Oreochromis niloticus: one gene and its partner. The protein of the gene in region 2 interacts with the protein of the main gene of each other region in a biochemical or structural test. Links are inferred from orthologs where the notes say so. Each region holds a gene or a part of one and is shown on either strand. Other genes may lie near its edges. The genes, in order: pdgfc and pdgfra.

Region 1 (12,415 bases), on a different chromosome or scaffold from region 2:
ATACAGCACTCCATGTTCAAATAGTGCTGACAGGAAAAACATAGACACTTTTATCCAGGGTCCCCCACTCTGGAGTGAGATGTTGAGGGGAAAATTTCCTCTTGCCAGAAGACATAGACCTGCCTGTATCCAGTGGTTTCTACTGCTACTGTTGTGGAAAATTCACATAAGTGCATTTTTCTTTCTCTTACTAACACTAAATGGTTACTCAGAAGCTCATGTATTTAGTGACTTCCATATTGGACAGGGAAAAGAAGCCAAACTCGTTTTTATAAATGAAAAAAATCCATCACGTTCACTCAGCAAAAAAACCCTGATAAACCAACCTCTCCTTATAATTGTGTTTTTCATCTCACTATAGTGATCTCCTTGGTGTAACTTCTGCCCTCTTTGCTTCCCACTGAGTTTATTGAACATTCGAGCCATCCATTTTCTTTGATGGTTTTAATTCAGCCAAGCATACCGGCTGCTATTGCACTGCCCACTACAATGATTAACTGCATAGTGCTGCATTCATTCATTCAAGCATATCCATCAAAGCATGGATCCCCCTAAGTGGAAACAAGCTTTCCCAGGGTCAGGAAACATCTAACCTGTATAAAAGAATGAGTTGAAATTCCAAGGCAGGCACGTTTTGTTTGACTGGTTTTCAGAGTCATAGTCGTAATTTCATATTTAAACCCAGAGCTAAGCGCTATGGAAACCACTTAAAATAACATGGTGGATACACGAATGCCAGCTGGTCACGTTTAGTAGAAAAGGCTTGACCCATTACAAATGACTATGTTTGGTCTTGTCAGGGCAGATTTTGTAACAGTGGGCTGAGAACAAAAAAAATAAAAAACAAAAACATAATACTTCTTCTTAACTTTAACAATTACACAATACGCATACTGTACAATATGGTATGAGATGACATAATAGTATCATAATTTGTATGAAATGCTTGTTTCACCTTTAAGAGTGGGACAGTGATTTTATATTAGTTTTTTTTATGTTTTTACTATATTTTCATTGTGTCAGCTGTTTAAAATGATTTCAACTTTAGAGAGAGAAAGATACAAATTTAAAGCTCTGTCATGAACACCTGCTCCACTGAGTACAATTAAAGTTATAAGATGCATTAATCCTTGAATAAAAGTTGACCCAAAGTCAAAAAAGTGCTTTCACTAAGCCAAATAAACTAAACTTAATTTAGCTTCAGTATAAACGTTTCAGCTCTATGATGAAATATTTCTTACAAAAAATGCTTCTTAGGAGTTGCAATTTACTTCTTGCCTTAAGTGATTTTGTACACAGGCTAAGATCTTTGACTCTTTATTAAATTACCAAGTATTTCTCAAGGCAGTTGGTAATCTTTTAAATACTGTGGCTAGGCAAGCCTTAGAAGTACTTTAGCTGTCAATCACTTAAATGAATAGGATTTTGCCAGCAACCAAAATGACTACTCCCACTTTGCTACTCTACAAATATGCTATTAACAGCTGTTCTCAGCTATTGGAGAATGAACACATATTGTACTCTGTTACACCTGAAAAAGTCATGATTCATACGAGGCCACCCAGTATGTTCCCGGTGCAAATGTCTTGTTTGTCTATATCATAATCATAATATACTGAATGTATAATGCTCCTCTGTCTTCCATCTATGTATAAGTGGTACACTGCATATGTTCCCCATAGGCCGTTGACCCTTATAACCCCAGTCCTCCCTCTAATCTCTTAATCTTTAGCGGAACAGCAGCTTCTGTGATCATTGGCAGGTCCAGTGTGGTGCATACCTTCCTCCAGAGGTGCTCGGGGGGGGGGTTTATGTGGGAATATCACAGGTAATCCACATCTCCTACAAATATCTGTTGCTGGATTTTTCTGAAAATATCTGGCTCTGTGCTTATGGGTGGCCTTGGCAAAAAAAACTTGGCCTTCTACGGGTAAGAGAAAGCAAACCACTTAACTCAGAGAAGTGATATAAGAGGTGCCCCTGAGATGACCTGTGTGATTGGGAAGCTGAGATGGAGCTTTAGCTGGGTGTGCAGTGTTGACAACTGGTATCAGGCCATCACTGCATAATGAAACAAGCTTATAGGCTATTAAATAATAAGTCAATCAGTGGTACATCATAGTATACAGCCTGTGAATCATGTTGTTTCATAACAAATCAAAATCCTGTCTCATGTAAAATATGTTTTATGATGATATAAACTCCTGATTTCCTCTTGCAAATGCTTGAGAATGAAAGTAATACTCGCTGGATCAGATTCTCTGCTGTTATTTGCTTCAGTCCAGAAAGGTAGGCTTAAATGTCCTGCACCATGATGGTATGCCTTTCTGGCAAAAACAGGACAACATTGTTGTTTCTGACTTTTTCAGCGTTCAACCCAGTTTTACCTTTTATAAAACAATATGTTTTTAAAAAAAGACAAAATAAATTGAAGACCAAAGGCTGGGGTAGCGTTTGAGCTAGATTGATACATGGACTTTCCCTCAGCGCTATTTCATTTTGAAAACCTTACACTACACGGCTTCTTTGTAGTGACTGGAGAAGTCATTTTTAGCAGCGTTTCCTCTTAATAACCATGAAACCCTATAGTCATGTGGCAAACACATAAAAATGACATACACAACACTGTAACATAATTCTCACCAGTGGACGAAGGAAATGTTGACGTTATTTATCACCCCAAAACACAGAATTTAGATTTCAGAGTTCATTTTGAGAGTTTTTGTCCAAATCATTCATTGTGACAGATGGTTACTCTGCACAGCTCTGGCTCTCAATGGGAGATGGTGCCCTCTGATATCTTATGGAGTCATCAGCAGCCGCTTGCCAAGTTTAATACGACTGGGGACCGTAACTCTCCAGGCAACTACTACTAAACATGCCAGACAGGTCTGGCTTTCTCCCCTCCGTCAGATCGATATCAAATTGTCTCACAGAGCATCTGCAATCAAGCACAGCAGAATAGAGCACTCAGACACTCCAGTCAAAGGTTACAGACGGTCTGGCCAGCTTTGCCCTCAGCCAAAGTGTGACCGCCTTTTTAAAGAGTTCTTTGACAGTTTAACATCTCCCCCACCACACTTCCCCTCCACCTCCTTCATCACTCTCCCTGCCCTCCCTCCCTCCTCTCTGTTGTTTTCCTTTCTCAGTCGTCCTGATTAAACCTGGATATCCCACCAGGAGGCTCTGATTTCCCAACCCTGCCTGTTACTGTAGTGAAGTCAGAGCTGCATGTCCTCACACAAGTCGAGTCAAACCTACTGGTTACTGAAGATCAAGAAATGTATGAAGATTAACCATATCTACAAGATATAGGTACTGTAAGCTATGTGATACATACTCTGCTTCTATGTTATGACTTGTTATGTGCTTCACGTAAGCATAATAATAATCAAACATCACATTTTAGGACTCCTGACTAAAAGGCTCACATGCACAGGATCGGTCAGTTCACACATAAACTATTCTATGGCAAGCTTTTTGGACTTACATTTCTTATACCAGCATGTCTTGGCTTGTTTTGTAATTCTTATAAACCTTCGTCAATCATATGCAGGATATATAAAGTTTGTTATGAAGAGATAATGTCAGCACTGGGAACATAAGGGATCAAGATATAAAACTTAAAATAAGCTGAAAATAATAATCATAATACACAATCTTAAGTACTGAATTAAGATCTGAAAGATCCTTACAACAACAAAGAACAACAAAGACTGTCAAATTCCCCATGATGGCAAAACAATCACTGGAGGCTAATTATTTACTTACTTAGCTAAGCACAGTTATATTCTTGTCATTAGCATGGAAATAAAATTAAACAGTGAAAAAACGGGGGGAAGGATTTCAGAATTAGTGAAGTTCATTGGAGTCATTTCACATGAGTCCCAAATTACATCGCCCTGAGTGACTGCTCCTGAATGAATGGAGCCTTTTTTATGATCACAAGAAAAACTTCTCCCGAGGGGCAAGGAATTTCAGAAGGGTTTCCCCTTTTAAGCATACGGGGTACACTTTAAAGGTAAAGGGTAATACTGCACTTCCTATCCTGGATAATACTGTTTGAACTAAATAAAATGCTTCTATTCATTCAAAAATGCACAAAGATCTACATTTTGAAAGGAATGTCTTTAAGCCCAGTAAGAATGAGCATCTAGGTTGTGTGAGCAATCATTCAAAAGTTTGAACTTTTAAGAATGAACGAGAATGCATCGAAAACTCACCGTTATGCTCCTTTACGCTTGGTAGGGGAAATTTGCTGACATTACTTGATTCAGCTTCTGAGCCATATTGTTGGAGAAGCGATGCAAGAAGGAATATTAATGGAAGGATCATTTGGATGAGTGGTAGCCGGCGATCACAAAGCGCTGTAGACGGGACGGTTTGTATCACCACACACATGCGTCGTTTACAGGACACCAGTGCTGTTTCGGACACATTTGGAGAGGATAAACGCAGAGTAAAATCCACTTAATTTTAAGCATCAGTCCTTCGGAAGAAAGTTCGGGAACAAAATTTTAACTTGAGAAGTTAGAACGACTCCTCTGCAGAGGTTCCGAACCTGCCGCTGCTGCGCAGAGCAAATGCGCACCTGTTGGTTCAATGGGAAGTTTGAGCAAAGTTTACTTTAATGTTGTTATAATCCCGGTATTAGTTATAAAACCACCCTTGTGCACGCATATCATCTACGAGACGAGAACATTAGAAAGACACAGTTGCATTTTGGGTAAAGCGCGCGTCCACGGTGCGTTCTTCACTCCGCCTGATAAATCCCTGCAGATCTTTACGCATTACAGCAAAGGCTCACACACAGAGACAGCGAGAGAGTGAAGCAACTTGATACAGCCTGTACTCAGAAACCGTTCGCAGCACCGAGACGTTTTCTGTTGTCTGGCGCAGTCTAGAGTCATAACTTGGAGTCTGAGATAAAATATCGCTGCGCGCCCGGGGTTGGCTTTTTGGAGACTGGCAACTGACGGCACAACAGGTGCTATACATAAAGTACAACTTCTCAGCGGAGGAAACTCCCAGGATGTTAACTATTCAGTTGCTGCCTGGTTTAACGAGGTGTTTCACTCCCTTACGGGTTCGTTTTATGTTTTGTTTTTGTTTTGTTTGTTTGATGGTTGCACACTTTTTAAATAATTTCTAGCCAAAAGTTTCAGCCTCCCGAGATCACACCGTCTGTTGTTAAGGATAAGGTTTAAATAAGCTGTAGTACTTTTGGAAATATATCTTTAAAACTAAAGAATAACTTAAAACACTATAACACCAGATTAAACGATTAGCCTATATTGTAAATATAAAAATATAAGAGTAGAGATACAAAAAAAACTGTGAAGGAGACATTTTAGGCTATTTGTGTGTTTTTTTTTTTTTTAAAGGGACACATTTCACTTTCTGCTGTGTGTACACGAGTTGTACCCACTGTCTCAGTACTCCTTTATCTGTTTCTCTGCTTATTTTACTGGGCTACAACACCATGGCCTGGTTGCATTTTTATCCCATTAAATCACGGTCCATCCAGTGTATAATATATACAATGCAGTTCACAGTATATATTCACATCAGGAGTCCCATGATTCAGACTAAAACCTTCCATATAACATTCCTAAGTAACATTGTTTAACCACTGAGTAATTGTTTAAAACCTTGATTCACTGAATGAAAGATAAATGCGCCCCAAAAGAAAACTTTTTAATATGCAGTTTTGTGCTCTCCTGGAATGTTTCTGTGGAAGGAAATGTTTAAGGTTCTCAATTTGTCATATCAAAGCAGAGACACCGCTTGAAACAATACTCCCTCCTGTTCCCAATTTCCTTTCTCCCCAGCACAATGTTGTACCTCATCAACTGTGTTTTATGTGGTTCCTCCCATCCTATTGTTGGCAAAATGCAACAGTGTATCCCCTGCTGTATGGTAAGTCTGCTGTAGCACAGACACAACAATCAAAGGGGAGCTGGAGACATATTGAACCCATTGAGCCAGACACATGATGCAATGCTGCAGCAATTTACCCCCAGTCTCACATAGCTTAGAAACTACCAACTCAAAGAGAATATAGAGCAACCATCTCTCCAGCATCAAGGTAAGAAGGGAAGCTTTTGTGGTTTTAATCAAAGTTAATGGCTCAGGAAAGAAGGCGTGGGACATTGATGCAGTCATTTCATACTTGTGTTGCCCCTGTGGAGAGGGGCATATAGAGGTCTTCATGTGCCTGTTGCAAGGGCCAAGGCCCTTTGTGTAAAGGAGGGTATCACATTCCAGCCCTGCGAGCGCCTGCAGCAGATGTCAGCACTTCACATCGTGGAATCCCTCTCTCTTTCACAAAAACACACACACTCATTCACCCCATGAGGTTTTGTCTGTAAAAGCTGGGTATTTTGTCTTGTTGTCCACATTTGATTGCCGCTTCCATGGTGGTCTTGTGAAACGCAAAGTCTTTGATACAAAGAAATATAATAAACAGAGGAAATTAGAAACAAGTTAGGCTATTTGGGTCACGCCAAACATGCAGAGACAAGCCAGCTAGGAGAGCTCTGTGTCCACTGAGCAGAGTGCAAGTGGAAATGTATACAATGGAGAATTCACACTCATCATATACTGCCTAAATCCCCTTAGACTTGCCTACCGTTATGGGATGCATTCTGCCAAGCAAACAAATGCCCTCAAAGATCAGTCATTATTAGAAAACACATCTGTCATAGGGTTTTAAAAAAAACACCTTTGTGGTGAAGAGAAACACAAGAGAATGAAAATGTTAAATTACTTAATTTATACTGTAAAACCAGTTGCTGCAACAGCATGAACTTCTGTTCTATCTGTGTAGTCCAGTAAATCATTTTATTTACACACCCATACACACACAACACATACTTCTATCTCTGTACCTGACCAGCTGTTATATCATCATATTCATTATCTAAAAGGCGCACTGACCTTCACCACGCAGTCACACTTTTATATCAGAGACATTCTGGTGTTTTATGGATACTAAGGTCTCATGTTGATAAGTGAAAAGTTTCAATAATTGCCCCTGGCTGTACTTGGCTTTGAGACCAGAGCCCCCTGGTGGTGCCCCTCAGAGCTACAGGCAATGTTCTGCCCCTTGAACTTCCTGATGATACTGCAAAGGGTGTGGATTTTTTTTTTTTTTTCAAAACAAACTCATTTTGATTCCACCAGGGGAAGCATATTTTATCTGATGATTCAAGATATTTCCAGGTTAAAACAAATCAGATTTGCTTATCATGTTCAGGTGTTCAGGGACACAATGCTGCTCCTTCTAAAGTGTGCTGTAGTAGAAATAAATATGCTTAAGTCATAAACTGATCATCAGTAATATTGTAAACACAGTATATTCATGTGTTAATGCACTGTATAGTCCAGTTATTTTGAATGAGTAATCTTAATTTTACATGGTTAACCTCACAAATCAAAACTGTCACAAGCTGCATTGCATTTTAGGTCATTTCAAGTAAATAACCTTCTTGTCAAAGGTACAGTCTGTTGGAGGTTTTGCAAAAAGTATTGAAGTGCATGACTTCAGTTTGGCTTCAGTTGTGCATAAATTACACAAAAACAAATACACTGCTGTCCAATATAATTGCTTAGCTGAGTTCCCGCCACAGCAAAACCTGAATATAATTCAGTTTAAATCCAATTATTAGTTTAATAATGCTGTCTGACTATATTTGTTATTGCTGCTTGATGCCCTGAAAATGAGAAAGAACGAATGTCTGCAGTGTGGTGGTGCAAGCTGGGATGAACACCTGGCTGGATATCTACCAGATTTTTACTTTGAGAACTCTGTTAATATCACAGGCATTGAAAAACTAAAAAATAATTCTGGTGTTAATCTTGTTGGAACCAACTAAAACAGAATCGCTAAAAATTTAATTTGTAAAATCTTGATTCAGTGTAACTGTTTAGTCATGTTAGACATTTCAGTTTGGAAAGAGCTTTTTGTCCTTCAGGATTTTCCCCCTTACACAATCCTTATTCAGGAAAGTGGTCCAAAAATATTTGAAACGAAACCTCCTTCTTAACAGATTTCTGGCTCTATGCCTCCATCATAATTTTGGATAGTGTTGCACTTACTAAACATCTGCTGACAAGGAAGACTCAGTTTCCATTATAGCAATCTGCTTATTTAATGATCCAAGGATCTCATATTACAATGCCAAAGTTCATCAATACATTATTGAACTGGAATCCAGGACAGTGCAGTGATGAATTTTACTTTTAAATCTGCAAGCCTGCAACCCTGTGCATGTCTCTCCTCACCTATTGCTTTACTGACATATGAGCACACTGCTTGAATGTAAAATAGTTACTGACAAGATCATGTGTGTGTACAGGTCAGACAGAGAAACCATCATGCAGAGAGAAAAGACTTTAATCAATAAACCAGGAACTTGAAGTTGGAAGATACTAATCCTCGTATGTGTCAGCGTACTGCCTTTTGAATGTACTGATGAACATGTTCCAGACCTTCATATAGTTTGAAATATATTTTACTTGTACACAGTAAAATAGAAAATGTCTGTAGCTGTATTTTTGACAGCAGTCACCTTAATACAAACCTCACATGTTCTTCAGAAACATCAAACTGATGTACTGTATTTGCAGTAAATATTGTTTTATCTCCATCCTTCATGATTTACATGAAGTTCTTATTCATTTTCGCTGCTCTTATCTCAGCTCCTATGACATGTACCTGTTCCTCTTCCAAACAATTTATCTCATCATTGAATTAAAGCGCTGTCAGCAAAGCTACTCTCGGTTTAGTTAAAGACTGATCCATCCTTCTGAGATGAAAACAAACCTGTTACTAAGCAGCACATAGTAAATAAATAAACAAATAAAGATGCTTAGTAGTAACACTTCTTTGTCTCCAGATCTGTCAAAAACTTCTTTTTCATTTGAATTACAATGTGACAACACATATAACTCTTCAGGGCTGCAGTGGTAGCAGAAATCTGGTTTTCATGCCAGGTTGTATTATACCACAGTTGACTGTTTCAATCCAGCCTGACATATTTCTGGAATGGCATATGATTGTCCATCACACTCATGGCTCATAGCCAGCTGGCCAGCGAACATTTTTCTAAACAACACAAAAGAATCCTTGCGCTTGAATGGCTGCCTCTTTATTGTAACAGCAGAGCTTTGCCCTGTGACATAAATCATTAATCTCTATGCATATGGTACTGATTAATTTGTGTATGCAAATGGAATGCCTTGTCAATCAAAATCATACCACGGGGATCATCGTTGGGGAGACCGCACAAGTTGTTTGACACAATGATGCATGAGATATGGATCAAAACTGTGGGGAAAATCAGCTCAGTGGATTTTTCTTTTTTTGTACTTAAAGAACAATAAATAAATAAATAAAAAAATCAGCCTTACTGTTCCCTTCCCTCTTAATGTGTGTGTGTTTTTTGTTAGTTAGAAGAACTTTCAAATCTGTGCAGACATGAACGGTAAATAAGAAGTCCTCTTTATCATCCACCAGGTTGTCAGTTGTTTTGTGACCTATTCAATTCAGTTCAATTCAATTTTATTAATATGGCGCCAAATCACAACAACAGAAATCACAACAGTCACCTCAAGGCACTTAATATTGTAAGGTAGACCCTACAATAATACTTACAAAGAGAACCTAACAATCATATGAGCCCCTTATGAGCATGCACTTTGGCAACAGTGGGAAGAAAAAACTACCTTTCAACAGGAAGAAACATCTGGCAGAAACCTATTTTTAAAGACAGATTTCATTGCAATAGTCAACAACCATTTCAATAAATAAAGAATTAAACCTGGAAACTATGACTCAACTATTCATTGTTTTAATCCTTAAGATTTAATAACACCCTGTCATAATACAGTCAGTGTTCAGTTTTTTTCTGCTTTTCATTAAATTCTTAAAAAATGAAAATAAAATCCTTAAAGTGATTGGCAGGTACAGTAACCCGCCTAAACATGCTTTACAGTACTTATGTTATAGTCACACTATGCATTTTTCTCTCACAGACATATACAAAAGGCCGTACTGTCAGACCAGAATGTGCACTGCTTAGCTGAGCCTCTTAGTAACTGCTTCGTTGAGGAAAAAGACATTTTTAGATTAATATTTATTTACAGCTTAACAGAAAAACTTCCAGCACAGAGGAACATCAGTCACAGGTTATGTAAAAAGTCTTATATATGATCCATAAAATCACTTTACATACAATAGCTTTTAGACTGAATATAAAAATTAACGGTATGACCATTTGAAGTGATAATATTCGATGAGTTTGTAGCAATTTGGTGTTCTGCCAATAACTCTGTCACAGTCAATGATTATGATTTAAGATCTGTATTCATTTATATAGCCATTCTCCGTTTCATTTATTTTTTCAGGCATTCAATCTGGATATAAACAGCAATTACTCCACAGCAAAATGAAAAAGACATTTCTTCCTGCCATAAATCTTAAATGTGTTTTAACAAACAGGCTGACAGCACAGATGTAGCAGGTAAATCTAAATTGTTGAATTTGGATATAACAACATTTGAGAACCAGAAGTCCATTAAATAGTTGTTCTGGGGCTTTTAGTAACTTTATAGTGCATCACACTCCCATTAGGAGACACAGTTTAGCCAATAAAATGGCAACTTGAACATCTGTGAGTTCATATATGAACTCACAGATGTTCAAGTTGCCATTTTTCTAACTTCCCTTCCCCATCTTCTAATGGAAACTGTGTGACAATCTAAGACATGTATGAAACCAAAGCATTTTTGTAGTTCAGTGGTGGCTCTAAGTGTAAATACATACAGTACTGTGCAAAAGTCTTGAGCCCTGAACCCATTTTTTTTAATACTTTGCTTCCAAAGAGTCAGACTTGCTTGCAATTTTTAAAGTGGTCTTAAGTAATAGTTCCCCATAGTTTTCAAGGTCTTTAAAGTTTTTTGTGACATTGACCGTCTTATCAGTCATTTTCAGTCTAGTCCTTGTACCTGAGGATTTTCATAAGATTTATTAATGTATGTATTTATTTATTCTGTTCAACCACTTAACACTGACCTATGAAACATTCATGTAAAAAAGAAAATGCACCTCACTTGAAGGATGAACCAGAACCACACTTTGTTACTAACAGCCTATCAAAAACATATACATAGACTCCAAACACACTGCTAGTGCAGAAAAAGCATACCTGCATGGAACCAAATTCCCCAAAAAAGGCAGCCAACATCATAAGTAGTGCTTTGAATGTCCGTCAAGAAGCTTGGAAAGCTATTCCCAAAGACAAATGAAAGAAATTACAAGGGAGCCTTCCTAACAGAGCATAGGTTGTGTTGAAGAATAAAGGTGGTCATACCAAATATTTACTTTCAAGCTTGTTAAATTTGCACAAACTCAGTTTTTGCCTTCTGTGCTGTATTTCTATGTATGATTGCACATGTTTCAATAAATTGCTGCATCAATTTCCCATTTTCCCCCCAAAATATAAAGAGATGAGGGGTGGCTCAAGTTGTTTCGCAGTACAGTACAGTTGATGAAGACACACACACACAGACACACACACGCACAAAAAATGCCCTTTCATTGCACGGGGACACTGAGACCGAAAGTCATAAGATTTTCTGTCAACACTGGTAGTTTCATGTGAGCCAGAGTTCTGAATCACACTCGACTCTGACGTCTTGACATCATCGGTGGTCTGCTATACCACACCAAAGATGGTTAAGCCAAGAAGCTGTGCCAATGCATTTCATTGAGGTGATAATTTTTGCATCTACAGTGGGCTGCCTTAATGTGGAAATAATGAAAACTTTACTCAAAATATATAAGGCTGTATGGCGTCTATTATGTACACTAGCAGCAGCTGAGGATTTGGAAGCAGGGAATGTAAATGTTTATGAAATATGAACATCTTCAGAATGAGTTTGTGATTCTTTACACCAAAGTACGTGAGATCAGATTGCTCTGTGTCCTACAAACTAAAATATGCTTGAGACTTCTGCATTATGCAATTAAAGTAGTGATCATTTTTATCTGGATAATAGAAACACAGACTATATTATTATATTTTCTTAGTCACTGATTTAATGAGTCACGTTTCCATATATACAGTCAGCTTTTTATCTCTAAAATAGTCTAGGTCTTACTACGGCACATGCTTACCAAACAATCTATTACTACATAATAAATAGAAGCTTAAGTATGAATCTTATTGGATTCATAATTTCTAATACACGCTTTTTGGGGGGAAAATGGGAAATAGACATAATACACGCTTTCTTTTTACATCCATCTGCTGCTAAATACCACTCAGTCCCAGCCATAAGTAGTGATGCGTTTGCGTCTATCGCGTGAAAGAGAGCTTTTATTTCCTGCCGTCACGTCTCCGTTTAGCAG
Region 2 (12,680 bases):
ACTGCATCCTTAGCCTATAGAAACAAAAGAACAGTGTGAGATCACCGGAGAAAAAAAATATTAGCAATATGATATCTGAATGTTGTAATTCACCGAGTTTTCCCTTTTACAGATACAACATCTGTATATCAGAATCTGTATGTCGTGGTGCTGAAGGCTAATGGTTAAAACACTTGCTAGGCCACAGGAGATAAATTAGGATCACAGAGGCTTTTAAAGAGCCTGTAATTGCAGCTGAGACCAAAACCAGGAGTCATAAGTCCTGTGTTCCTACCCTGAACATCTCTGGAAAAGGGCTTAAAGGAATCCCATGCAAAATGTGCCACATAGATTAAGTATGTGAATATAAACAAACATAAGTTGCAAATGAAACTTGCTCTGACCCTTCAGCGTAACACTTTAAAAGCATTAAATGTTTAGCTGGTTTACAAGTGCAGACAACATCTGTACAACATGTCTCAGGGTCAGTGGGGTCAAAGATTTACTATGGTTCCTATTGCCCTTCTTTTAAACTGCTTCTTTCCCTCAAGATAGCTGTGGCAGTTAACTCCATGCAAAAGTGCTGTGTTTGGCTTACATCCTCACAATAAAGACCCAACCTTCAGTTGCTGCTTTCCTAACACATAATTTGTAACCACTAAAGGCTGTCCTCTGAGCTATATTCCACTTGCCACTGCTAGCTTTGGGTCCAAAACCATTATTTTCTTATTTAAGGCTCAGCACTGCTGGCTTGGAAATGACACTGGGTAGAAGGACACACTGCAAGATGAAGTGGACAAGTGGCTGAGGCTGTATAGGAGACTAAATTTAATTAAAATAGGAAAACACAGAGGGAAATGACTGTATCTTGCCTGTTTTTTAGGATGGAGCCACTGCTGTTGAAAGTCCAGGCCAGAAGGAACGATGCATGTGATGTTGAAAGGCTGCCCTGCTCGCAACGTCTCTTCACTGGCTATTACCTCCATGTCAGAATCGTCAAAATCCTTCCCCTCCATAGGGTCTAAAGAGGGACCAGCGAGAGCATTTATCAGCAACACAATCTCTCACATCACGTGTGGCAGCCTGATTACCGTGACTTGATTTATCGCAGAGCTGTGGTTATACACCAACACACACACAAACACACAGAGAGTGCAAACATGCATGTGAAGTCATCCCACTTCTGTAATAATGACATAATGTCATGCAGTGAGATCACCCTGTAGCCTTCTCTTCATAAACAGGGGTGTTTCCAGCTGTTCAGTTATTCTTTTTTTTATCTTTATCCTGCCACTTACCATCTCTATAGCTCCTATTTCTTTTTTAATAAAGAGAGTATATCATACTACAACTACACTTGTCTTGACTTACCATTAGATATTACAGTGTAAATAGAACTTCGGACTATCTGGCCATTCAGAGTGGTTTCACACTGGTACTGCCCGGGAGTTAGGTTGTTTGAGAAGAACCCTTCTTTGCTGTTGTATAAGGCATGCAAAGCCTCTCCACTGGGGACTTTTCTCAGGATGACGTAGGAGTCCCAGTGAGACACACGACATGGGATGTTGAATCCATAATTGTCCACGGAGACAACCAGGTCTGTGGGTAACTCGGGGACAAATGGAGCATGTGGATCTAGGTACAAAAAGAGGATTTTTATAATTTGCTTCATGACTTTGTTCATTTTGCTAATGCTCTGTTAAAGTGAGGAACAATTTAACCTAATATCCTTTAAATGTCTCTAAAGCTGTATTAACAAATTCACTCTTTTGGCCTATTTCAACTTTGATAGATTCGGTGAAGAAACGACAGGAAAGCGGGGACAGAGAGAGAAAGGGAAGACATGCGGCAAAGGGCCACGGGTCCCGTGGCGGTCGCTCACAGCCTATGGCATGTGGCGCCCGCTGAACGCGAAAAACCGACACCCCCACAAATTCACTCTTGTGCTCTAACCCGCCCGAGCAAACGTTATATGGTATATCATAGCATATCACCAACATATTCACCTGGGACAAAAATATAAATTTCTGCTTCATCAGCTTCCAGTTCTTCATCCGGGTCTTCATATTTGCACGTGTAATAACCTGTGTTTTCTACCGTTGCGTTGTATATGAAGAGTGTTGAAGTGTAATACCCCGGATAAACCAGGGCGTTTTTCTGCAGCGGTTCCTCCCAAACCACGTGTGTTTTAGCGGTGCAGCTTATATTGAAGAGGGAATTAGGCTGTAGGACAAACTCCTCCTGGTCAGACAAGATGGTTGGTGGAAGCAGTCCAGAGGTAACTAAGAGACAGTTTGGTAAACATCAGAGAAACAGCTGGGAAACTATCAAAAGGATTTACCTGCAGACTGTTTTACTTACCTGAAACCAAAACCACCAAACTGCCCCCAAAGAGGACAAACGTCTTCAGCCAATCCATGACTATGGATGCTTTGACCTGTAAAGACAAGCGGTTATTTACTAAAGACGAGGACACTTTATCCGATCTTACATGATTTATCCAATTTGAAAGCATTAATGTTTAATAAATGGATCAGTGGGGTTTTCACTTTTGATTTTTGACTCTTAGTTCCTTTAAGCCCAACTTTAAGTAATTATATCGAGCATGCGCTTGCTATGCCTGTGGTGCCACACATTGCTTTAGTGCTGAAACTGTACAGATATGAAATTTATTGCAGATTTGCATCCATTATTTTATTAAGAGGAGAATTACGATTCTCAAATTGTGACTCGCAATTGTGCCTTTAACCCCTTTAATGTGAACCATGAAAGAACTGCCAGAAATCTTTAATTTTTTGATAATGGAGTGTTTGTTAGACAAAAATACATATATAAAAATATATCAAATTTTAATCTGATTATATATGATATTTAATTTGTATCACATTTGCTACACAAGCCATATTTTTACAATTTAGTCGTTAAAAAATTGTCATGCAATTCATATCATTTTTGAGGGTAAAAAAAAGTCACGCTGATGATGTAGAAGTCTCAAAAACTCACAAAAACACATGCATTAAATATGATACGCTGGGTTTTAAAGGGTTAATAACTCCGTGGTACTTTGAATAGGAGCCAGCGGTTGCTGTTCCCAATCGATAGAGGGCGACACAGTCCGCCTTATAAGTGCATCGAAGCTAATCCCCCTCCTTGCTTACTCGCTCTCTTAAAGCTTATCTTTTCGCTTTATAGATGCACATTTAGTTTTTGCATGGAATGTAAGCACAAATTGGTTGCACATTGTTCTGTTTCTCCCCTTTTTGTTACAGTTTTAAATGTACCCATTAAAAAAAACACTGTTATCAACTGGATAATAAGGTCTCATACCTTGTCAAATTTAGCCCATTATTCCGAACAATTCTTTACAAAGATCGTGTTATGTCTGGCTTTTTCAGGTAGCTCTGCAACTATGATCCCCATATTCTTTGAAGCTGATGGGCGATCAGGGATCTTTTTACTTTTTCTTTTTTTATCAGGGGCAACATAATTTGAGTGGCTTACTCAAAGAAAACTGTTAAAGATTAAGCTCCCCTTCAATTAACTCTCTTTAAGTAGTTTTCTTTCTTGTTATATCTCAAAATAGGTTTTACATGTGACGGGGAGGTCTAGATTCCATTTTCTGTAACTTCCCTGGTCCCAAACAATACAGCTGCTGGTCCCTTTGCTGTTTCCTGTGGCTGCCCGCTCTGGCTCAGTCGAAAAGAACTAAATTATCCATGGGTAACCTGGGTTTGTTTAGCTCTATAATTAGCGCGCCCAGTGTGCACAAAAGTACATATTCGCGTGGGAATCAGTTGACAAAATGCCTAATCCGTTTGGCATGTTTGTGCACTCGCGTTGTCTCAAACAATTTCGAGAGGGGATTTTTCAATTGCATTGGCTTGGCAAGAATTCTCTAGCCACTGCGCGTAAATCTGACTGAGCCTAAAGTGGCAGTAAGACTTCGTGCACGTCCCGATCCACTTTTATTTCCACTGCTCTCCCAGCAGGAGACTCAACAAATGCGCCACAGAGCAAACGCATCCTCCGCTGGGCTTGGACACAGTTGAGCAACAGCTGATATTGGCTTATCTCAACTCTCACTGGGTCAGTTATGTACCATAATTTTCCATTAAAAAAAACTAAGAAACCGTCGAATACAGTTAAAATGTTTTAAATTCTTGTGAGTATTCACTCTTGAAATTCTGACCACAAGCGGTATTCCTCTGTTAAACCCGTTGGTGACATGACCCTAAAAGTTCTTCCTTTCTTCTTTTTCTCCTCTTGGATCAGTTCAGCTGCCGCTCGAAATCTCCAGTCAGCCTTATTGAAGTGCACCCAGTGCAGATTTTCCATTTTAATTCCTCACATTCCAGGGACAGACTAGAAAACAATGTGATGTACAATTTCCAATGTGTTTCTCATTAAATGCCAAGCAGCATCCCACAATGGAGCCTTCAGTCTTCGAATTGACACCTCCAGCTGTGAGCCTAAAACCGAGCGCTTTTATCCAGCAGAGTCAGCATGATCTCTCCGCTTGGCGTCCAGGGGTGAGACCATATGGTGCAAGGGGGAGAGGAAATCAAACCCCAAAATCCTTTTGGATTGTTTAATGCAAAGCCTGCATACAAATTGCAGGGTCGAAGGGCTCCCTGCGATCCATATTAAGTGAATGCAACTTTTAGATCAACTTTTCTACTAATATGATACGAAATGATATGGTGCATTAATTGGCTAAACTAATTAGGAATACAATTAAACTCCATCTAATCTTACAGAACAGTAATCTATTATAGATTTCCCACTCTTTAATTATATCAAAACGAGACAACTTTTCAAAAGACTAAGAAAAATAGTTTCAATCGACCCCTTAATTACCTTATACTAATCCCTGCTTTATATTCCTTTCGTGTAAGTATATCCACAATGAATTGGTCACTCCAAACGCCGCAGCATAAAGGGTCCTTTGCAGCGGTTATAATCCTCAGAGGTCCTGCTCTGTGAGAGCATATGTGCCACCCTCTGTCCGCATCCACGACTGCCTTCACTACTGCGCTCCAGCTACATCGACCTGTAACTGATTCGATGTTACAGTCCACCCTCCTCCCACCCGAAAAAAAGTAATCATCTGTCTCAAAGTAAATAACTCCCAGGAAATGACCCCCCCTCCCCTTTCTCTTCTTTCGAGCTCCGAGACCCTTTTCAAAGTAAGAGTCGGGCGTATATGCCGGCTGAAATCTGGGCACAACATAGCATTTTCACTGGACTTTAGTCGGATAGGAAAACTTCTGAAAGTAAAACTCTTCATGAGATATTTTTGGGGAACTTATGTTGTATGTGATTATGTTTAGCTTTGATGGATATTGCATTTTGTGACTAATTTTATTAGTGATTCGTGTTATGAAGGGTTTTCCTCAAATTAAAACTTACTTATTTCTATGTTTTCTTGCAGGATCCCCGTACCCTACAGTGAATACAGTTCTCAGTCGGAAACCACGAACTGCGGCTCTCGGGAACGCATAGAGGGCGCTCCAACACCACCATATCACCACCTACCTTTTAGTTTTTGCTTCTTCTCTCTCTCTCTCTCTCGCTCTCTCGCTCTCTCTCTCTCTGACTCGAGCCTTCTCGATGAGGGACACACACACACACACACACACACACACACACGCACACACACTGGCACACGTGAGTCAGCTGTTTACCGAGTGCTCATCCAAGGCTATTATTTTTTCACCGTATCTCCCTTCACCCCGGGCCTCTCCTGGTGGGCTCACAAAGAAGAATGGGTCCCTGTGAATCACCTATCTTTTGGCAAAGCAGAGGGGTATCAGACCGTTGTCTTTGCATGGAGCAGGGCCCCGGGGCCGATGTTTCACCCCCCACCCCCAACTCCATACGGCCCCTTGGCGCAATTACTTCCACATGTTAGGGAAAAGAACTGTGTCCTTGTTCTCCAAACAAAGGATCTCAACTTCGGAAGGCAGAGCTTAGCTCAGACCTGTTTTGCCTCGTTTTGGGGGGATAAAACTGCTCAGTTTTCAACAGTTCTAACTTCCGTAAAACGTTACAGGTAAACTGAAAAAAGTTTTATTTACTTATTTCTTCGTGTGAATAAATTCAGCACAAAATGAAGCAAATACCAGGCTTCGCTAATAGATTTCTTAAGAAAAAATCATCACAGTTAATTTTCACAACAAATAACAAGCACAGCAAACGCCTAAATATTCCAGATATAGGCCTATACTGCATATAACTCCAGAGTTCCTGCATGGTGACTGTCTTGCCACCAACTCTCCACCAGGGGGCTTTGACAAAAAATATAGCGGTATTTAATTATATGTTAACGGCAACGTTCAGTTGCTACATAACAAATAAACACATAAACATAAATAATATATATAAATAAATAAAAGACTGAGAAACTAAAATCATTACACCCCTCCATTTGATGTGTGCTTAAACATCCATTTTAAGCAAGAAACAACTTCTTGCTAGAGCAAGCTCAATGTACAACTGACTTTAACAAACATGTATATACAACATAACATGTCTCATAGACATGATAAGTACTTAAAGTGAGTACTTAAAGTACTGGATGGACGATGGCCTTTGGAGGGCGGTCCTTGCGGGAGCTGTCCAGGGTGCTGAACTGAGCAATTACTAGAGTTGTCCGTAACCTATTCAAATCCTCTCCTTTACCTTTTTAGCTCTAACCTCTCTATAAGGCCAGGCATTAAGTGGATTTTTATAGATCAATAGAAAACGAAAACAGTGACTGCATGAAACACAACATGCTAAACATTCACCAGAACCCCGCATTATATTACGATGCATATTAAAAACAATTCCAAAAACCTCCAAACAGTGTAAACAAGGAAAAATCGGAGTCATTTTGGATCAACAACGCAGCATACAAAAGTAATATATGTAGTTAAGTTCATTTAAGCTGATATTAATGCAAATATACGAGGTCTCCATAGCGCTCCATGTGTGAATGTACCTGACCCTGTTTATACAAAGATGGATGTAACCACTTGACTTTTACTTTTGAAAGGTCAACGTAATAATTAATTATCACCTCCTTCTCTTACACACACACATGCGCGCGCACACACATTGTATATCAAACACACATAGAGAGATCACCCCCCCCCCACACACACACACACATACACACACAGAGAAGGAAATTGGCCACCATATACATATATTAGTTAATTACTATAGCCTAAATAGTACAAATTTCCACTGTAGCTTGGTCCGAAAAAGTAACCCAGTATCATAATTTAAGATTCATGCGTTTAAGTGTAAAAACGTTCAGCTGTTTAACGTGAGATCAGAGCGTGTGTCCCGGAACAAACCCGTTGATATGTGATTTAAATGAATGGAATAGATATATGTGTGGACGATGAATGCTACACTGCTGACAAATAAATAAAGTGGACCTCTCCTGGAGAAAAAAAAAAAAGACAACACCCCCCTCGGGTACTTCAGCTTCTTCCAGCCCATCTCTCCGCATGAGACAGCAGCTGCACCCGGCTCAAAAGCGCTCTTATTAATTGTCTTTTGTCATGCGTAATTGCTGTATTTTCAATGGTGGCCGATGCAGGACGACTTTGGAGTGCTCTCGTTTTTCTGTGCATTAGTTGGTATAGTCCCTTTACTGCAGAATGTATGCTCCATAGTCTCAGCCTGGCATTTTTTCAAATAGCTGTGTAACCTCCGTGTGATCGGAAAAGTTCGTCATTGTGACAGTTATAGAAGAGATAGCCGTTCGACCTGGAAAAAAGGAGCTTCAGCCCATCATTATATAGACCTTACAGTTTGAGGTCACGTCCTGTGGGGCTGAAAAGGGGGAGAGTCTTTGTCGAAACTGTGGTTTATTCTATTGTTAATAGCTTTAAATGCTGCACTGGTCTTTCACACCTGCAAGGGAACTCTAATTCGATTAATAGGAACTTCAATATATATTCATTAGATGGCTTTCCCCCAATAATATATGATCACCAGCGGGATGTGAATGGGGACCATTTATTCCTGCTCTGAATGGGCCTGCGTGGGACCAAAACTTCACCTGCTTCCCCTCTCAATTAGGAATGTATCCCAAACTCTGACAGAAACGAGTTAAATTAGGCGTCAGCTAATTTCCAGTGGCCCCTCCTACGTAATCCCTCCTCAGAGCCTTTCCATTTGAGCGTGCCCCCTTTAATTCACCATAAGTTGAAAGGTTCAAATAGTGCCTAATGAAACAGTGACTAAATCGTTCTCTGTCGCTCGGAGGAACCCTGTAGCTGTCTCTCAAAGCTCTCTCAGCACACAGCCGTCGGGGGTCCTGGGCTAAATGCGAGTCCCAAGGCAGGACAATCTAACCTGTCAAAGCCTTTGCCCACTTCTATATATACTTGTTCTGTGGTTTCAAGCAATAGCAGCATAATCAACCAACGTGGGACCGAAAACGCAATTAAACTCGCTTTGGACAACCAAAATCTTTTCAAAAGCGAACATTAATGGACTATTGGCTGCTCCCCGGGGGCGTTATCGGGTACCCTTTTGTGGTCACATCTAAGGAGAAATTACACTTTCATAAAGCTCACTTCATCCATTTTGAATTAGATAGCTAGATCTTGTAAATTGAGCTCTGCTGCATAATGTTCCTAAATAAAATACGCACAGTGGACATTGAGGTGTAACAGAATAAGACCACTAGTTAAGAATGACAGCTTAATAATGATAGCTGTCGTGACAGAAACACCTTAATTCGGTGAAATGCTAAAAGATAACTGAACTCACGGTTTAATGAGCCAGTTTGCGATACGTGTCTGCTTTTATTCTGAGGCTAGGAAAGTACAAAGTCTTTGTAATACAATAAAACAACTTTATCTTTTTTTTAAGGTGGTGTTTTAATTTTTTTTAACATGTAATTGTGTTTAAATTATATTATATGAGGGGGCCTTTTTTCTTCATAAGATTACAACGAATGTACGTTTGAAACCTTGTAATAATTCACTTATAATACTGAATATTTACATATTTTTAATGGAAAAGTGAAAAAAAAATCATTTCTGCGAGCAGTTTTTAAATCAACTCGACTCTCAAAGACTCAAAAATTCGTTTTTTTCACTTTGCATTCATTATCAGTGTTACAGATATTAGAGATTCAGGTGAGCATGTGCATAATCAATCATAGTAAGTCAATAGTGACAAATTATTAGGTCAACTCGTCATGTTTATTACAATAAATACAGATATACAAAGTTTACAAATTGTTACATACAGGTTTCGGGTTTACACGTCAGACCTTTACTATTTCTTGGGGTTTTCTGTGCTACACGTCACTGACTGTAAAAGGATTTCCGGCAATAACTGAAATCATTTACTGGGGATAATTAACAAGGTAGTGTAGGTGAGAACCTCAAGGGGATCCACATAACGTCAGTCACATAGTTGGTCATGTTCCCAAATATTTCACGAACACCTATCCACACTGGTTTTAAACATTAAACATTTGTTTTGAACATTATAAAGAACATGAAGCGAAGAACAATTAATATTTTCAGAACTTCTGCTCAGGCTTCATGCAGCAGATATTTGGCTCAGGGGCTGGGTGATGCCGTGATCCATAAATGCAGCAGGGCAGAGGACGCGCCAGCAGTGGAACTTGTTGAGTCGAGTTGCTCTCAGATGGGAGACACCTCTTTCTCTTCCGAGACTGAGGCCGGAGATAGAGACTCCTCGTCTTCTGACCTTGAATAGTCTGTGTGGCTGGTTGTGCACTTGCAACCACTGTGCGCGCTTCTTTGGGTGGCTTTACCCTCTTTCTTGTGCTTCACTCTGCGGTTCTGAAACCAGATTTTCACCTGTTTCTCTGACAGGTTTAAATATGTAGCGATTTCGATTCTCCTGAGTCTAGAAAGATACATGTTCGTGGAAAACTCCCTTTCAAGTTCCAGGAGTTGCGTGCTTGTAAAAGCCGTGCGCATCCTCTTGCCATTCTGTATGTGGTTATTCTCGGAGGCACCTGTTAGAGGAAAAAAACATTTTTTGAGTCATGTTTTAGTTCTGTACTTCCTCTGTGAATGTGCGGTCATTCCAAGACAGGCGAAATGTCGCGCGTAAATCGTCGTGCGTAAAAACAAAGTGCATACCATTGATCTTACTGCTACAAAGTACAACGCGAGCTCTAATAAGTACAGAAATATGTGCCGGACAGTAGTTCTAGTCATGAGCCGAGACAGTAGAAAACACGTGCTTACCAATAGAGAGACAATGGTATCTCCTGGGATCTGTGACGCTGAAGGTGGGCGTGCAGACAGGTGTATGTCCAGGGTGAGCGAGTGCAGGAGACTGCTGATGTGCTATTCTCTGACAATACTGTGGCTCTGCTCCTGGAAACTGACTCTTCAGCATGGGAATGCCGCTGCGGGAAGAGTGGATATGGGATGTGACGCACAGTGGACAGACACAGAAAGTCCCATTTTTCCTGGAGGGGCACACCGGAGCGGTGACAGTCATTACGCTCGGAGAGTGCATGCTGATTGGAATAAGGAAGTCTTGTCCCGGATGCTCAGTTGGTCCAGGTCGCACCGTATCCTTGATTATTAAAGAATCAACATAAAATGACCTCGACATGGCTGCGTCGCTGATAAGTGATCGCTCCGTGAGCAGGATGATTGCTGCTTCTCATCTGAGCCCCTCGGGATTTCCAAAGGTGCTTATGTTTGATGGTCAAACAAAAGAGAGCCCGAGGAGGGTTGGCCCTGCAGCGTCACCCACGTGCGCACCCGGCTCTTGGGGTTTATACTGTCAGTGACCTAGACCACGTGATATCTCATATGGGCCTCCAATCACAGCTTCAAGATTTACTTTTTTATGCAGAATTGACAAAAGTCTTGACTGGTAACATAAAATAATCAGGAATTTTTATTTATTTATTTATTCCTTTTCAGAACTGTGTAGAAAGTTCTACAAAGAAATTTTTCAGCAAATTCACACTGACTGAAGTATTACTTTGTAATATCTTTGAAACAAAACCTAAAAAAAATATATATATTGCAAACATTTAAAATATGCTTGTGAGATTTGAAAATTATAAACTTGTCACTACTGAACAGCTGTTTGGAAACACCTGCAACTATATCAATAAATTGTTTAGTGTCCACAACACTTCAAATTTCTGACAAAACGTGCATTACATACGCCATTCACTCTTCTTTTCTTTTTCTTTCTTTTTTTTCAAATTTGACCTGCAGTCAGTTATTGGTTTATTCACATTCTTTTAAATTACTGAGTAATAAGTCTGACATACAAAGGAACGCTATATAGCCAAGGCTAAGGATTGATAGTTCGCAAATGAGATTTAAGGAATTGTCCACGCGACCATAAGCAATAATTGCTTTGCAGACTAATCGTGCTTTGAATCCGGTTGGTCCAGGTTTCACTTCTAGCAATTAAAGAATTATGAACTCATGGCGAGTCTGGACTGGGGTTATTTGACGGCGATTAGGATTCAATTAGAAAGTGTTTATAATGGCCAGTCTGTGCGGGGGTAAACAGGCAGCTATTTCAGAAATGCGTTAATCCCTCATCTTGTGACAATAATTAGCGAGTTTGATCCCCAGGCGGGTCACCGGTAGGTTTAGCTTCTGCTTTCATCTGCCAAGTAACGCCTCGAACCTTCATATTTGAGCCGTCAGCGGGGTTAAGGTGCAGACGGTACAGGTACAACACCGCAGATGTTAAGTTGTCCGCTGTCTGTAGCAAAACAAATAAGGCCAAAAAGAAAATAGAATAGAAATAGCCTCATGTGGATTCCAACTTTTCAAAAGTTATTTATTTGTCACCATTTTTTTCTTGAAAAACCTGCTGTATGAAATTCATCATCACGGAGCAAACACACATGTTTACAACAAACAAGGCAACTGAAGCACTTAGTCAACTGTGACTTTCGATGCACTCTTTGAGAGAATTACAAAGTCTTTAAAATCCAACCATAATAAAGATAAAAACAGACATGTCAGTCACACAGACAGTAATTGCTCTAATAAAGTGAATTCAGCGTTTGACAAGGAAGACGCGCAGTTGTTATGGTACAGATAACAGTCCTGAACGAGAGAGAGACGGAGAGAGAGAGAACGGGAGAGAGAAAGTAAACCAAGCGGAATGATGCGTGGCGCACGCCCTCGCCTCACCATGCGAGGTCTAATATTATTTTTCCATAATTTTGCACGATAAAATTTCATTGTCTATTAAGTAATCCTACAAATGAGATCCTTTATGAGGCTATAATGAGTCCTAATTGCCAGGACTAGTGGAGCCACGTGGAAGGATTTAGGAAGCATTAAGCCGTCGGGTACTGAGCACAGGCTGTTACCTAGCCATTACTTTCATAATTCAAGGAGAAAATTAGTCCATTTAAGGGAAAAATCCTTTGATTCCCTTTATTCTGCTCGGGGTGACAGGGCTGCAGTGCTTTTTTTTTTTTTTTTTTTTTGTCCGCTTCGGTTAAGAAGTCGGTGCAGTAAATGGGGCCGGTGCAATATTATTCGGTGTTTAAATGTTAGGTTAAAAAAGAGAAATGTGTCCAACTCCCGAGGCCCCACCTCCCACTTTGCCTCTTCTTTCTCCCTAACGTTTTGCGCCTTTAGTGCAGCAGTACCCTCCACTATTCAACCCCTTTTCAAATCATGCTGATGGGCAATTAATCAACGGCCTATTCAATG

What was found.
Region 1: the proteins of pdgfra (region 2) and pdgfc form a complex in vitro, tested with the Homo sapiens proteins (2 studies listed by BioGRID and IntAct, with this or other methods). The link is inferred for Oreochromis niloticus from reciprocal best matches to the Homo sapiens genes PDGFRA and PDGFC.

Annotation. Positions count from the first base shown.
Region 1 is NC_031966.2:13,013,998-13,026,412, reverse strand, and holds the start of pdgfc (platelet-derived growth factor C), read right to left. Parts: upstream 4,966-12,415; 5' UTR 4,402-4,965; coding exon 4,224-4,401; intron 1-4,223. UniProt on the Homo sapiens protein: Growth factor that plays an essential role in the regulation of embryonic development, cell proliferation, cell migration, survival and chemotaxis. Potent mitogen and chemoattractant for cells of mesenchymal origin.
Region 2 is NC_031986.2:37,577,681-37,590,360, reverse strand, and holds the start of pdgfra (platelet-derived growth factor receptor alpha), read right to left. Parts: upstream 5,055-12,680; 5' UTR 4,837-5,054; intron 2,417-4,836; 5' UTR 2,399-2,416; coding exon 2,341-2,398; intron 2,262-2,340; coding exon 1,986-2,261; intron 1,615-1,985; coding exon 1,351-1,614; intron 1,001-1,350; coding exon 852-1,000; intron 15-851; coding exon 1-14. Other genes in the region: gsx2 (GS homeobox 2), read right to left, coding at 9,639-9,979, 10,215-10,590. UniProt on the Homo sapiens protein: Tyrosine-protein kinase that acts as a cell-surface receptor for PDGFA, PDGFB and PDGFC and plays an essential role in the regulation of embryonic development, cell proliferation, survival and chemotaxis.